2 linked regions of the Saccharomyces cerevisiae S288C genome follow. The gene in region 1 interacts genetically with each later gene. Each region holds a gene or a part of one and is shown on either strand. Other genes may lie near its edges. The genes, in order: YFR057W and SDH2.

Region 1 (4,863 bases):
GAATTTGAAGATTTAAAAAGGGATTTTGAGTTAGGCTTTGAACGTCTCGCAGAAGAAATTTCTTTGAATCCTTTACAAATCTGATTTTTTTTCCTTTTTTTTTTGGATTTCCAAGCAATGTTGTTTGAGAAATGAATGAAATTTTTGACTATAGCTTGTCTTAGGCAGGCTGGAGTAGACAACCATCTAGTAGCCAATGTTTGCCCAGTTAATATATGGTTCAATTTTCTAGCTGTATCATATTATGGATGATGAAGCAGATAATCTTTCTTTTTTCTGTATGTCTGATTGTAATAAAGAGGCTTACCATATTGTGAATGCATTTCAATGACACTGCATAATGAAGTCATTGTATTTAGAAAAGTAATAATTTTGTATTGTATAAAGATAGAAAAAACGTATATCGTACTTATTCAGCGGAAATGATTCTGCTTTATCTACTTGCGTTCCTGAATATAATATTTGTGAACCAGGCTTGAGCTTGACACTACAGATTTTTTAGTTCGATTTCATTCAGTAGAGAAAGGCATATCAATATGACATGTGATCTCACTCCGCGGCTAAATGCTAGCAATAAAAAGAATACCGTAATAGAGATGCAGCAAAATAACCACTGGTGTTTAAGAAATAATATGATTACGTCAGTAACCGAAGAGCCCGTACGCACTCTGCTACCATAGACTATGTATATTGTTACCTATTGTAAATAGCTATGGTTACTCTAAGTACGTATGGTGCTATGCATCTCGGTGAACGGATGCAATTATGAAAGTGTAGGTCAGAACATCATCGGTGGTTTTGTCGTGTAAAAAAGGTTATAAGGAAAATTATACTCACATGATTTTATTCATCATCGTCTGTGTATCGCTTCAATTAACATTTTGAAAAAGAGATTACTTTATATGACGTTATGTATATCTTTCAACTTAAATAACCTTAGCTGGCAAAATAAAGAATAAGATAAGGGCCAAGAAGAACGCTAATACTCGTTTTTTTTCAACTACAAAACAACTAGTTGGATAATTTTGAAACAACAAAGTAGAAGTTGTACATATATTTTTGCGCATATGGCTCTGAAATATCGTATTTTTCAAAAGCCCGATACAAAGCCGTCAGCAATACCCATAGTTAAAGATTCCTTGATAACCTATAGCTTCCGTAGACAACAACACAAATTTACCACCTACTTTTAACTCACCCATGTTTTTCAGTTTATCAATGAATCTAATAAACGTGGCTTACGTAACAGCTCCGCATGGACTTGAATTTACTCCTAGCGAGCCTAGTGTTTTAATTGCTTGCATACAATCTTCATCGGAAACTAAACAGGAAATAGATGGCCCCTTTCTGTAGTAGAAGAAATGCTGTTGCTGAAATCCTCGGACAGTTCAACTCATCCATGATTGTTCTAGAGGTTCCTAGATCAGATGAAGCCTTTTGTAACACCAATGACTTATTGACAGTGTAAGCGGTATCTGGTTCAACCGAGAAGACTTTCGTATTCGATTTATGCGACCTGTAATATGTTATCACTCCTTGAGCAAAAGAATCAGCCCCACAAGGGACAAATATTACCGCAGGATCGAATGGTATTTCGCTACACAAGGTAGTGTAACCATAAGAAATCCAGTTAGGAATTTCATCATAACCTATGAATGAAAAATCTTGAATAAGTTGATTTTTTTGTCGGATCGCTACTACAAAACTCTAAAGAACTTTTTATTGCATAATCATAGTTACCTTTAATTTTGATAACTTCTGCTCCCTTTTCTGATCTGATGTTCTCACGCTCTGTTCTAGAACATTCCATGGAGTAAATATTGTAGACTTTAAGCCTAGGATTTTTGCCATGTATGCAACTGCTCTACCATCATTACCATCTGTAACAGCCGCTAGCATCAAAGACGGGTGTTGGAATTTGACAATTTGCTTCAATGTATCCAAGGAAGTTTTAGGTAATGGCAGGCTAAATCTTCCAATCAAACAGCAAAATACACCTCAAGACGCCCCAAGAATTTTGAATGAAGGCGAGCTGAATCCCGAACTTTGTTCTTTAATGTACAATTTAATACCAAAATGATTATCCAACTTGATTAGCTTCGATGACTCATACAGATCCATACCAATATCAACTTCACGGATAACTTTTTCAACTCTTTTAAATTCTTCAACATCATTTTTCGATCAAACTGCGTCAGGTTTTACATATAGATCAAGCGTTGTCGGTTTATACTACGATGTCATTTACGATCTGCTGCCAACAGAAGAAACATTACGCAGTACCTTGGAAAAATCTAGGCAATTTATAGACATGAATCTCCTATCGTTCTTAAAACAATGTATTTCCTGTCGTTGTCTCGATTCTCTTTTTTGCTATTCTGAAGGACAGGTCCATTTATCATCCAGAATTCTAATCCCGAATTTAAGATATCGTAACAGTAACAACATCATATCCAAGCACCGAAGATTCATTGCTCTATATTCCTTGTCTTCGAATAAGGAAGATACCGCGAAGAGACTCTTTAGGAGTCGGGCTTGACTCCCTGCCAAAGCAGCTATTCCTGTATAACACGCGATATTTTATCTCCTTGTCGTCATGTGAAAGTCAAACAGCGCACGTTTGTTTGATGAAGCAGCAACTCTCCTCTTACTGCTTTTGCAGAATTTTGTGAGAAGCTCTCTTCTCTTGGAACTAACCTAGCCATATGGCTTTCTGCCCTCTTTCCGTCAACATTACAAGATAAAGATATCGGTATAATTTAAAGATTCGACCTTTACGCCCTACATGGCTAAAATTACAATGCCAAAATTATCATGAATTCACTTTGTTGACCCGGAATTACAATACAATGCTTCTAAAAAGAGATTTCTTTTAAATTTGTCAAGGGAAGTCATTTATCTCCACACAAACGCACACCGAAATATATATATATATTTAAATTTCCTCATTCTTTGTTGACAGGTTGATTTGTAACTAGAAATCAAATAATCGGGATGCGCAATACCCTGTAGTAGTCGATTCAAAAACTGATTAAAAAATCACTGACATTTAGCATAAGCGACTGAAAAAATGTACTGATTTCTTCTCGAGTCATATATACTATTACATGAGTTCGAGTATGGTGTTGTTTTCTTTAGAATGTCTTATCAAGACCGACAATTCATACAGGTCGAGATATGTAAAGTCTACATGCCGAGCTAGGATGAGAAAAAAAGTATACAAATTGCAGGCAAATAAACACACCAAAAGATACTAAAAAAATCTTTTAAAGTTTTGGTTAGTTATTGGGGATCATCATGCATTTAACGACAACAGAGAAAAGAAAAACAAAAAAAAACAATACAATGTAAAAAGCAGTACTATGTAGGAATAAATCCTGCCTCAATTGCAGAAAAAAAAAGGTATGCGTAATCTAAATAAGATACTATGTATTGATATTTCATATCACTAACTTCTCTCAGATCAAATATGATTTAAAGGAGCGATTTCTGGACTGTACAAAAAAAAGAAATAGACTACTTACATCCTATGAAGGTCAGAGAATAAAACGCTTTTCCGTTAAAAAGATCCACCATATGGAAGAAAAATACGAGAGTTAAAATGCTATTTAAAAGTGCTAAAGGAATCCCCAGAGACCTCAGCTGAGATAAGTAATATCGTTGATGAATTACAAGGGAACAATGAGCAGAGGGAAAATGGACAGATCCTTTCGCATTCCTACTTGTTTGATGAGTTCAAATGTGAAATAGTAGCAACAAAAGGTCATAAATCTTCAATGATATTTGGACCTACTAGTGTCTATAGTAAGTGCTCGGCCAAGTCAAGCGGTATCATTAAAGACACCGCCAAGCTTCCAATATCACGAGTAAGGATCAAAGTTATGTTAGAGATAACTGTGAGTTTTTTATTTTTTGATCGATTTCCAAGATCATTCCTCAATCATAATCTATATGATTCAATATGTCCTTTCTTTGCGTGGCAATATACCTCATATTATCTTTCTATTTACAGGCAGTCCTTTCTATTTCATTTCTTACAAAAGGATTTTAGCAACGACTTCGTCTCAGAAGAGTTAATATATGCACTAGTTGCACTAGGCGCAAAAAATTCCTTTGACAATAGCCTTTCAAAGCATACATATGAATATTACAACCACTCAAAGAGAAATTTACTGGAAGATTCGACAAATAAAAATTCAGCTTTTTCAAGTGCAAGCGTAACAAAGCCATAATGCCTCCTATATTTAGCCTTTTTTGATATAACTGTCGGAGAGTTAACAAGCGGCTGGACTACTTTCTGGAATAGCGTTCGGAATGTGTTTTACTTAAGGATTCGAACGTGATCCTAACGAGTGGATGCACAGTTCAGAGTTATCTAACAATATTCGTGAAGGATATGTCAAAATTGGATACGCTTATGTTTATGATATATCATTTATATTAATATATAGTATGCTCACATTTTCTTATTGCTGAATAGTTCTTTTTTACGTTTAGCTGAGTTTAACGGTGATTATTAGGTGGATTTTATATTAGTCTACATAAAAATAAGTGGTGGATATCTACATAAAATTGTCATAACGCGTAAACTAAAAATTATTTTTATGATCATTGAGGATCTATAATCAACTATAGACATTAATGTATGGATAATCATGAGGATTATAGGTAAATGGCAAGGGTAAAAACCAGTGAGGCCATTTCCGTGTGTAGTGATCCGAACTCAGTTACTATTGATGGAAATGAGGACTGGGTCATGGGGCGCAATGGAGTGAAGTAATATATACTTTAGCATACGTGTGCGTACGCCATATCAATATGCTAGTGAGGTGGTGTGGGTGTGGTGTGTGGGTGTGGTGTGTG
Region 2 (7,469 bases), on another chromosome or scaffold:
GGTGCAAAGTATGATGAAAGAGAACCATTGGCAAAGATCTTTCCTCATATGAAAATCGTGGTTTCGGCATCTATGACTATTGAAAATTTACTTCCAGCAGATATTAACTTCTCTATTTTTGACAAAAGAGAGGAGAAGAGAACAGATTTCTTGAAGACTGGAGAAAGTATGGAAGTTCATCATATTTCTTTGGATAGTTTCCTGCTAATGTCTGTTCAACCATTACAAGATGAGGCTTCTGCTTCAAAGCCCTCCATCGTTAATACACCACATAAAAGTCCTTTAAACCCAGAAGATTCGTTGTCTTTGACCCTATCTGGAGGTCAGAATTTGTTGTTGAAACTAGATTATAAAAACATCGATGGTACAAGGTCCAAAGTTATTCGGATATACTCCCCTTATATTATTATGAACTCTACCGATAGAGAACTCTACATTCAAAGTAGTCTCTTAAATATTGCACAATCCAAGATTTTGCTTGAAAACGAAAAAAGATATACTATTCCAAAAATGTTTTCATTTGATAAAGAAGATGATAAAAGTAACAGAGCTCGTATTAGGTTCAAGGAATCAGAGTGGAGTTCCAAATTATCATTTGACGCTATTGGCCAATCATTTGATGCATCTGTTCGCATAAAAAATAAGGAACAAGAATCAAATTTAGGCATCAACATTAGCGAAGGTAAAGGGAAGTACTTGCTAAGTAAAGTTATTGAGATTGCACCTAGGTATATTATAAGCAATACTTTAGATATCCCTATTGAAGTTTGCGAGACAGGGTCTATGGATGTCCAGCAAATAGAATCGAACATCACTAAGCCTTTATACAGGATGAGAAACATCGTCGACAAGCAATTAGTGCTGAAATTCTTAGGCGGAGACTCCAATTGGTCACAACCATTCTTTATCAAAAATGTCGGTGTAACATATTTGAAAGTTTTGAAAAATTCACGCCATAAGCTTTTAAAGATTGAAATTCTTTTGGACAAAGCAACAATATTCATAAGAATCAAGGACGGTGGTGACAGATGGCCATTTTCCATAAGAAATTTCAGCGACCATGACTTTATATTTTACCAAAGAGATCCTCGTAAAGTTAGTGATCCATACAAGGATGACCAGTCTAACGAGTCCTCAAGCCGTAGTTTCAAACCTATCTTTTACAGGATTCCCTCGAAAAGTATTATGCCATACGCATGGGATTTTCCTACAGCTAAGGAGAAATATCTGGTGTTAGAATCAGGTACACGTACAAGGGAAGTTCGGTTGGCTGAGATTGGCGAATTGCCACCGTTACGCCTGGATAAAAGGTCAAAGGATAAACCAGCCCCCATTGTTGGATTACATGTTGTTGCTGACGACGATATGCAGGCCTTAGTTATTGTTAACTATAAGGCCAATGTTGGGTTATACAAATTGAAAACTGCCTCTGCAACTACCACGTCTTCAGTTTCAGTAAATAGTTCAGTGACTGATGGCTTTGTGCAAAAGGATGAGGATGAGAAGGTTAATACACAGATAGTTGTTTCGTTCAAAGGAGTTGGTATCTCATTAATCAATGGTCGTTTACAGGAACTTCTATATATTAACATGAGAGGGATCGAATTAAGATACAATGAATCTAAAGCATACCAGACTTTCAGTTGGAAAATGAAATGGATGCAAATAGATAATCAATTATTTTCAGGAAACTACTCAAATATTCTATATCCAACAGAAATCCCCTACACAGAAAAGGAAATTGAAAATCATCCAGTGATATCAGGTTCTATTTCTAAAGTCAACGATTCCTTACAGGCTGTCCCATACTTTAAACATGTTACGTTATTAATCCAGGAATTTTCCATACAATTAGATGAAGACATGCTGTATGCTATGATGGACTTCATAAAATTCCCAGGATCCCCATGGATCATGGATTCAAGAGATTATAAGTACGATGAAGAAATCCAGTTACCTGATGTTTCTGAATTAAAAACGGCGGGTGATATATATTTCGAGATCTTCCATATTCAGCCCACCGTCTTACATCTGTCCTTTATACGCTCCGATGAAATTAGTCCAGGATTGGCTGAAGAGACCGAGGAGTCATTTTCGTCATCATTGTACTATGTCCATATGTTTGCTATGACATTAGGTAATATAAATGAGGCGCCGGTTAAAGTTAATTCTTTGTTCATGGATAATGTAAGAGTCCCATTGCCCATTCTGATGGACCATATTGAGAGACACTATACGACCCAGTTCGTGTATCAGATCCACAAAATTTTAGGATCAGCAGATTGTTTTGGTAATCCTGTAGGTCTTTTCAACACAATTAGTTCCGGTGTCTGGGACTTATTCTATGAACCATATCAAGGTTACATGATGAATGATAGGCCTCAAGAAATTGGTATACATCTGGCTAAAGGTGGACTAAGTTTTGCAAAGAAAACAGTCTTTGGCCTCTCTGATAGTATGTCCAAGTTTACGGGGTCGATGGCCAAGGGCCTGTCAGTTACACAAGATCTGGAATTCCAAAGGGTCAGGAGATTACAACAAAGAATAAATAAAAACAACAGGAATGCCTTGGCAAACTCAGCGCAATCCTTTGCCAGCACACTGGGAAGCGGGTTGAGCGGAATTGCACTGGACCCATACAAGGCCATGCAAAAGGAAGGCGCCGCTGGTTTCCTCAAAGGCCTTGGTAAAGGTATCGTTGGGCTGCCAACTAAGACAGCCATTGGATTCTTAGATCTTACAAGTAACTTAAGTCAAGGCGTGAAAAGTACCACCACTGTGCTTGACATGCAAAAGGGTTGCAGAGTGCGTCTACCAAGGTACGTGGACCATGATCAAATCATCAAGCCTTATGATCTACGTGAGGCCCAAGGACAATACTGGCTCAAGACCGTGAATGGAGGAGTATTTATGAATGATGAATACCTGTCGCACGTTATATTGCCAGGCAAAGAACTAGCAGTAATTGTGTCCATGCAGCACATTGCTGAGGTGCAAATGGCCACCCAAGAGCTTATGTGGAGCACAGGATATCCTTCCATCCAGGGAATTACATTGGAAAGATCCGGTCTTCAAATTAAACTCAAGTCTCAATCCGAATACTTCATTCCCATCAGCGATCCTGAAGAACGTCGGTCCTTGTACAGGAACATCGCCATTGCTGTTAGAGAATACAATAAGTACTGTGAAGCTATCCTATGATCACATATGAAAGTATATACCCGCTTTTGTACACTATGTAGCTATAATTCAATCGTATTATTGTAGCTCCGCACGACCATGCCTTAGAAATATCCGCAGCGCGCAAAAGGCGGCCTCGCATTGGCCCAATTAGCTCCGGTGTAAAAAGGGCAAACTTATATAAGGGGATTAATGACTTTCTATGAGAATGCCAAAAAATGTTAGGCTAAAGGAAGGGATTGAAAGGAATATAGTTGAGCTATACTTTCTTGAAATACTGGAGTATACATATTTATAGGGATGTTGAACGTGCTATTGAGAAGGAAGGCCTTTTGTTTGGTGACGAAGAAGGGTATGGCTACTGCCACAACAGCTGCAGCTACGCATACCCCCAGATTGAAAACTTTTAAAGTTTACAGATGGAATCCAGACGAGCCAAGTGCTAAACCTCATTTACAGTCATATCAAGTGGATCTGAATGACTGTGGGCCCATGGTACTTGATGCGCTGTTAAAGATCAAAGACGAACAGGATTCTACCCTAACTTTTAGAAGATCATGTAGAGAAGGTATCTGCGGTTCATGTGCCATGAACATTGGCGGTAGAAACACGCTAGCTTGTATATGTAAGATCGACCAGAACGAATCCAAACAACTCAAGATCTATCCATTACCCCACATGTTTATTGTCAAAGATTTGGTACCTGATTTAACTAACTTCTACCAACAATACAAATCTATCCAACCTTACTTACAGAGATCATCGTTTCCAAAGGATGGAACGGAAGTGCTACAAAGTATTGAAGATCGTAAGAAACTGGATGGTCTTTACGAATGTATTCTGTGTGCATGCTGCTCTACTTCATGTCCATCGTACTGGTGGAACCAAGAACAGTATTTGGGCCCTGCCGTGCTAATGCAAGCCTACCGTTGGCTAATTGACTCTAGAGACCAAGCTACAAAGACAAGAAAGGCCATGCTAAACAACTCCATGTCATTGTACAGATGTCACACCATCATGAACTGTACTAGAACTTGTCCAAAGGGCTTGAATCCTGGTTTGGCTATTGCTGAAATTAAGAAATCTTTGGCATTTGCCTAGACTATCAGAAAAACAGCTAGCCCCGAAGAACTCAGAAGCCTCTCAAATGATTTTGGCACTAATAAAAGCACCAACTATTATTATTATTATTTTCAAGGACGAAACTCACCATTCTCACACATTCCTATACGTTAGGCGTTTATGTTTACTCTCTATGACTATTATTTATTTATCATTGGCAATGCTATGACCCGGTCTGTATATATGTCCATCATAGGCGACAAGGTGTTCTAGTATCTTCAGGTATTGTTGTTTTTAAGGATGAATTTATATCTTTGTTTTTGAAGGGCCTTTTGGCTTCTCTCCCCTATTTATTCAATTTATAACTATTTATTATATTAATACACGCGTAATGCTTAAGGTTTATTATTAAAGGACTGTTTTTATATTTACATGCCTGTAGTTAATTATATTTTCGTTGTGAAATTTCTGTTAAGAAACTCTATATGAAAGGTAACGAACTTAAAATTGAAAAGCAATGAGAAGAGAACACCATGAAAAAAAAAAAAAAAGGGCTAAAAAACAGAATTATCAGACTTGATGATTCCTTACCAGGAGTGGCATAGCCAACTGCAATCGTTGTATGACTCCCAGATTTTCCATAACTGGGCCCTTTGCCAAGATGTCCATTTGAATGATGAAAAGGATGGACTTCTTTTGCGTTTAATACCTACTCGACAACTGCAGAAAAATACTGAGCGTATAGAAAATAAATTACTAAATCATATAGAATTATATCTTACATATTCAAAAGTATATAACGAGCCCTTACTACTTTTGCGAATATGGGAGGAGAAAAGCATAGATGGTATTCCAATGACCAAATTGATGCTCCCAACTGATATCGAATCGCTGCTTGATGTTCAAGGCAAATTCCAACTAGGTTTGGATACTATCATTAACCTGGAAGGTAGCGTTTGGTATTCTTTCCATCCATGCGATACATCATGTATAGTAGGTGACCAGGCTGAGTTCATGTCAACTTACTTAAGACGATGGGTCAGTATTTTCATATTTAGTTGGTTAGGTTATGAAGATTCATAGCTTAACCTAGGAAAGCTTTTTAAAACACTATGCAATCATCTATGTAAATATATATATATATATATATTATACCGGCGGTAGTAAGCAGTATTTTTTTCTATCAGTCTATATTATTTGTTTCTTTTTCTTGTCTGTTTTCTCATGTTACCTTCTTAGCATTACCATAATGCGAATCTTCTGATGATGTGTCGGATAACCCAATAGAATCAGTCGTCGTCGCACCTAGCGAAGCAGTTTCAATGGAATCTTCTTCTTCAAGAATTGTTGGTATACCACCAAACGTTCTTTTGCCGCGCTGAACAGATTTAAATTGCACTTTCTTTTCTCCTGCTTCATTTTCGTTGTCTGAAATAGATGACTTGGTCTTTGTCTTTTGAAGAGCCATTCTTTCTCCAAATTCCTCATCATCATCGTTATTGTATGAGAAGTCACTCAGGTCCGATGTTCTTCTTGCTCTATTTCTCTTCTTCCAACCAGGCCTTCTAAACCAGGCTCTCATAATCATTTCCTTATAAACTGGTAAAGACCAGTTGACTGGAGATTCATGACCCTGATAAATACAGACATCGTAAACCAACCCCCCCATTAACGCACCAATAAATGGGCCTACCATGGGAACCCAAAAGAAATGATGATGATGCACCCAAAGCATTTTATGATCAAATCCAACTGCATATAGTGCAAGACGTGGGCCCAGATCACGAGCCAAATTCATTGCTGTACCTGTCTGATAAGCCATGGAAGCATTGATAATGAAAATCAAAATAAACATCATCAATGGGAAAACATCAGAGGACAAACACGTATAAGGATCGGTCAGCGCAAATGTTCCTGCTTGTAACATAGCTCCACATAAAAATTCGGAAAAAAATTGCCGTCCTGAACTTAGATAAGGCTTTGGAAAAACGCAAAACATTCCCGCAACACTTTCATTCATCCACCAATCGCTATATGCCTCTTGTAACACCCTTTTGTACCAAATAAACAAGATCAAAGCGCCTGTGAAGGCACCGATCAATTGTCCAGCAAAGTAATAAGGAACTTTCTTCAGGGGAAAACCTCTATACACCAAATTGGCTAATGTAATAGACGGATTCAAATGAGCACCTGAGATGGCACTACCACCAGCGCAGAAATAGCCCATCACCACGGCAGCAGCCCAGCCCAATGCCACATCATCAAAGGTACCGCCCGCAACGGATGAAACCAAGGATGTTAAACTCTTCATAGCGTCTATCGTTTCTGCAGAAGACCCGGTAACGTTAAGGTTATCCAAAGCCACGTTGAAATTGTCCTGCTGTATTTTCCCAGCAACATTGACCTGACAAACAACAGCACTACCGAAAATAATCATAACCATTGTTCCCATAAACTCGGCTAAAAATTCCTTCAAATAAGTGTTTTTGACGGAAGACCATTTATTAATTGGATGGTATGTGGAGGGCAAGACTGTAGGTGTTTGAGGGTTCTGGTATAATGTCTTTGGCTTCACCATAATGGGGACGTTACGTGGTGATTCATTGCTTTCCATATTAGTTTGGGCACCAGTAGTCCTGCCATTCGTGGCGCCTGTATTGGCACTGTGCCCAGCATTACTCGTAGCCCTCGACCTACTTCTCCTTCTCGATAAATGTGACTCCGGGATGGTATGCGCATCGTCTGCATTTTTGTAAAAATCTTCAATGTTAAGCACGTTGGCCGACACTGTGGTCTGCCCTCTAGGCCTGAATGCTCTATTACTGCTTGCACTCGGCGGACCGTTATCTTTATGGTTTATATCTTGTGTGTTAATGTATGCGCTAGGAATAACCTCTTGAATCGGGAAAGCAGTCCCACTTTCTACAGAATATTGTGGAACATACGTGGGAGTAGGCCGCGCACTTTGCGGAGAAGGTCTATAATCTTGCATTTCATAATCATAGTCGTCATCATTTCCCCCATCGTTGCCGTTGTTGTTGTTGTTACTGTTATTATTATTATTATTATTGTTATTATTGTTGTTAGTACCACCAGAGTGATGATGTGAAGGTTGTGATGAAGAGCGTCCTTCGTCGGATGACTGCTTATTAGATTGTTTCCTAGAACTATCATGTGTATGAACAGATTCACTGGACAGAAAGTCGTTTAGAGCTTTTTGAGGATTA

Evidence for each region.
Region 2: mutations in YFR057W (region 1) and SDH2 together harm fitness more than expected from each alone (negative genetic interaction), as found in Saccharomyces cerevisiae (2 studies listed by BioGRID).

What each region holds. Positions count from the first base shown.
Region 1 is NC_001138.5:265,285-270,147, forward strand, and holds YFR057W (uncharacterized protein), read left to right. Parts: upstream 1-3,776; coding exon 3,777-4,232; downstream 4,233-4,863.
Region 2 is NC_001144.5:49,943-57,411, reverse strand, and holds SDH2 (succinate dehydrogenase iron-sulfur protein subunit SDH2), read left to right. Parts: upstream 1-3,480; coding exon 3,481-4,281; downstream 4,282-7,469. Other genes in the region: membrane morphogenesis protein VPS13, read left to right, coding at 1-3,201; ATG10 (E2-like conjugating enzyme), read left to right, coding at 4,822-5,325; FPS1 (Fps1p), read right to left, coding at 5,465-7,469. UniProt on the Saccharomyces cerevisiae protein: Subunit of succinate dehydrogenase (SDH) that is involved in complex II of the mitochondrial electron transport chain and is responsible for transferring electrons from succinate to ubiquinone (coenzyme Q). SDH1 and SDH2 form the catalytic dimer.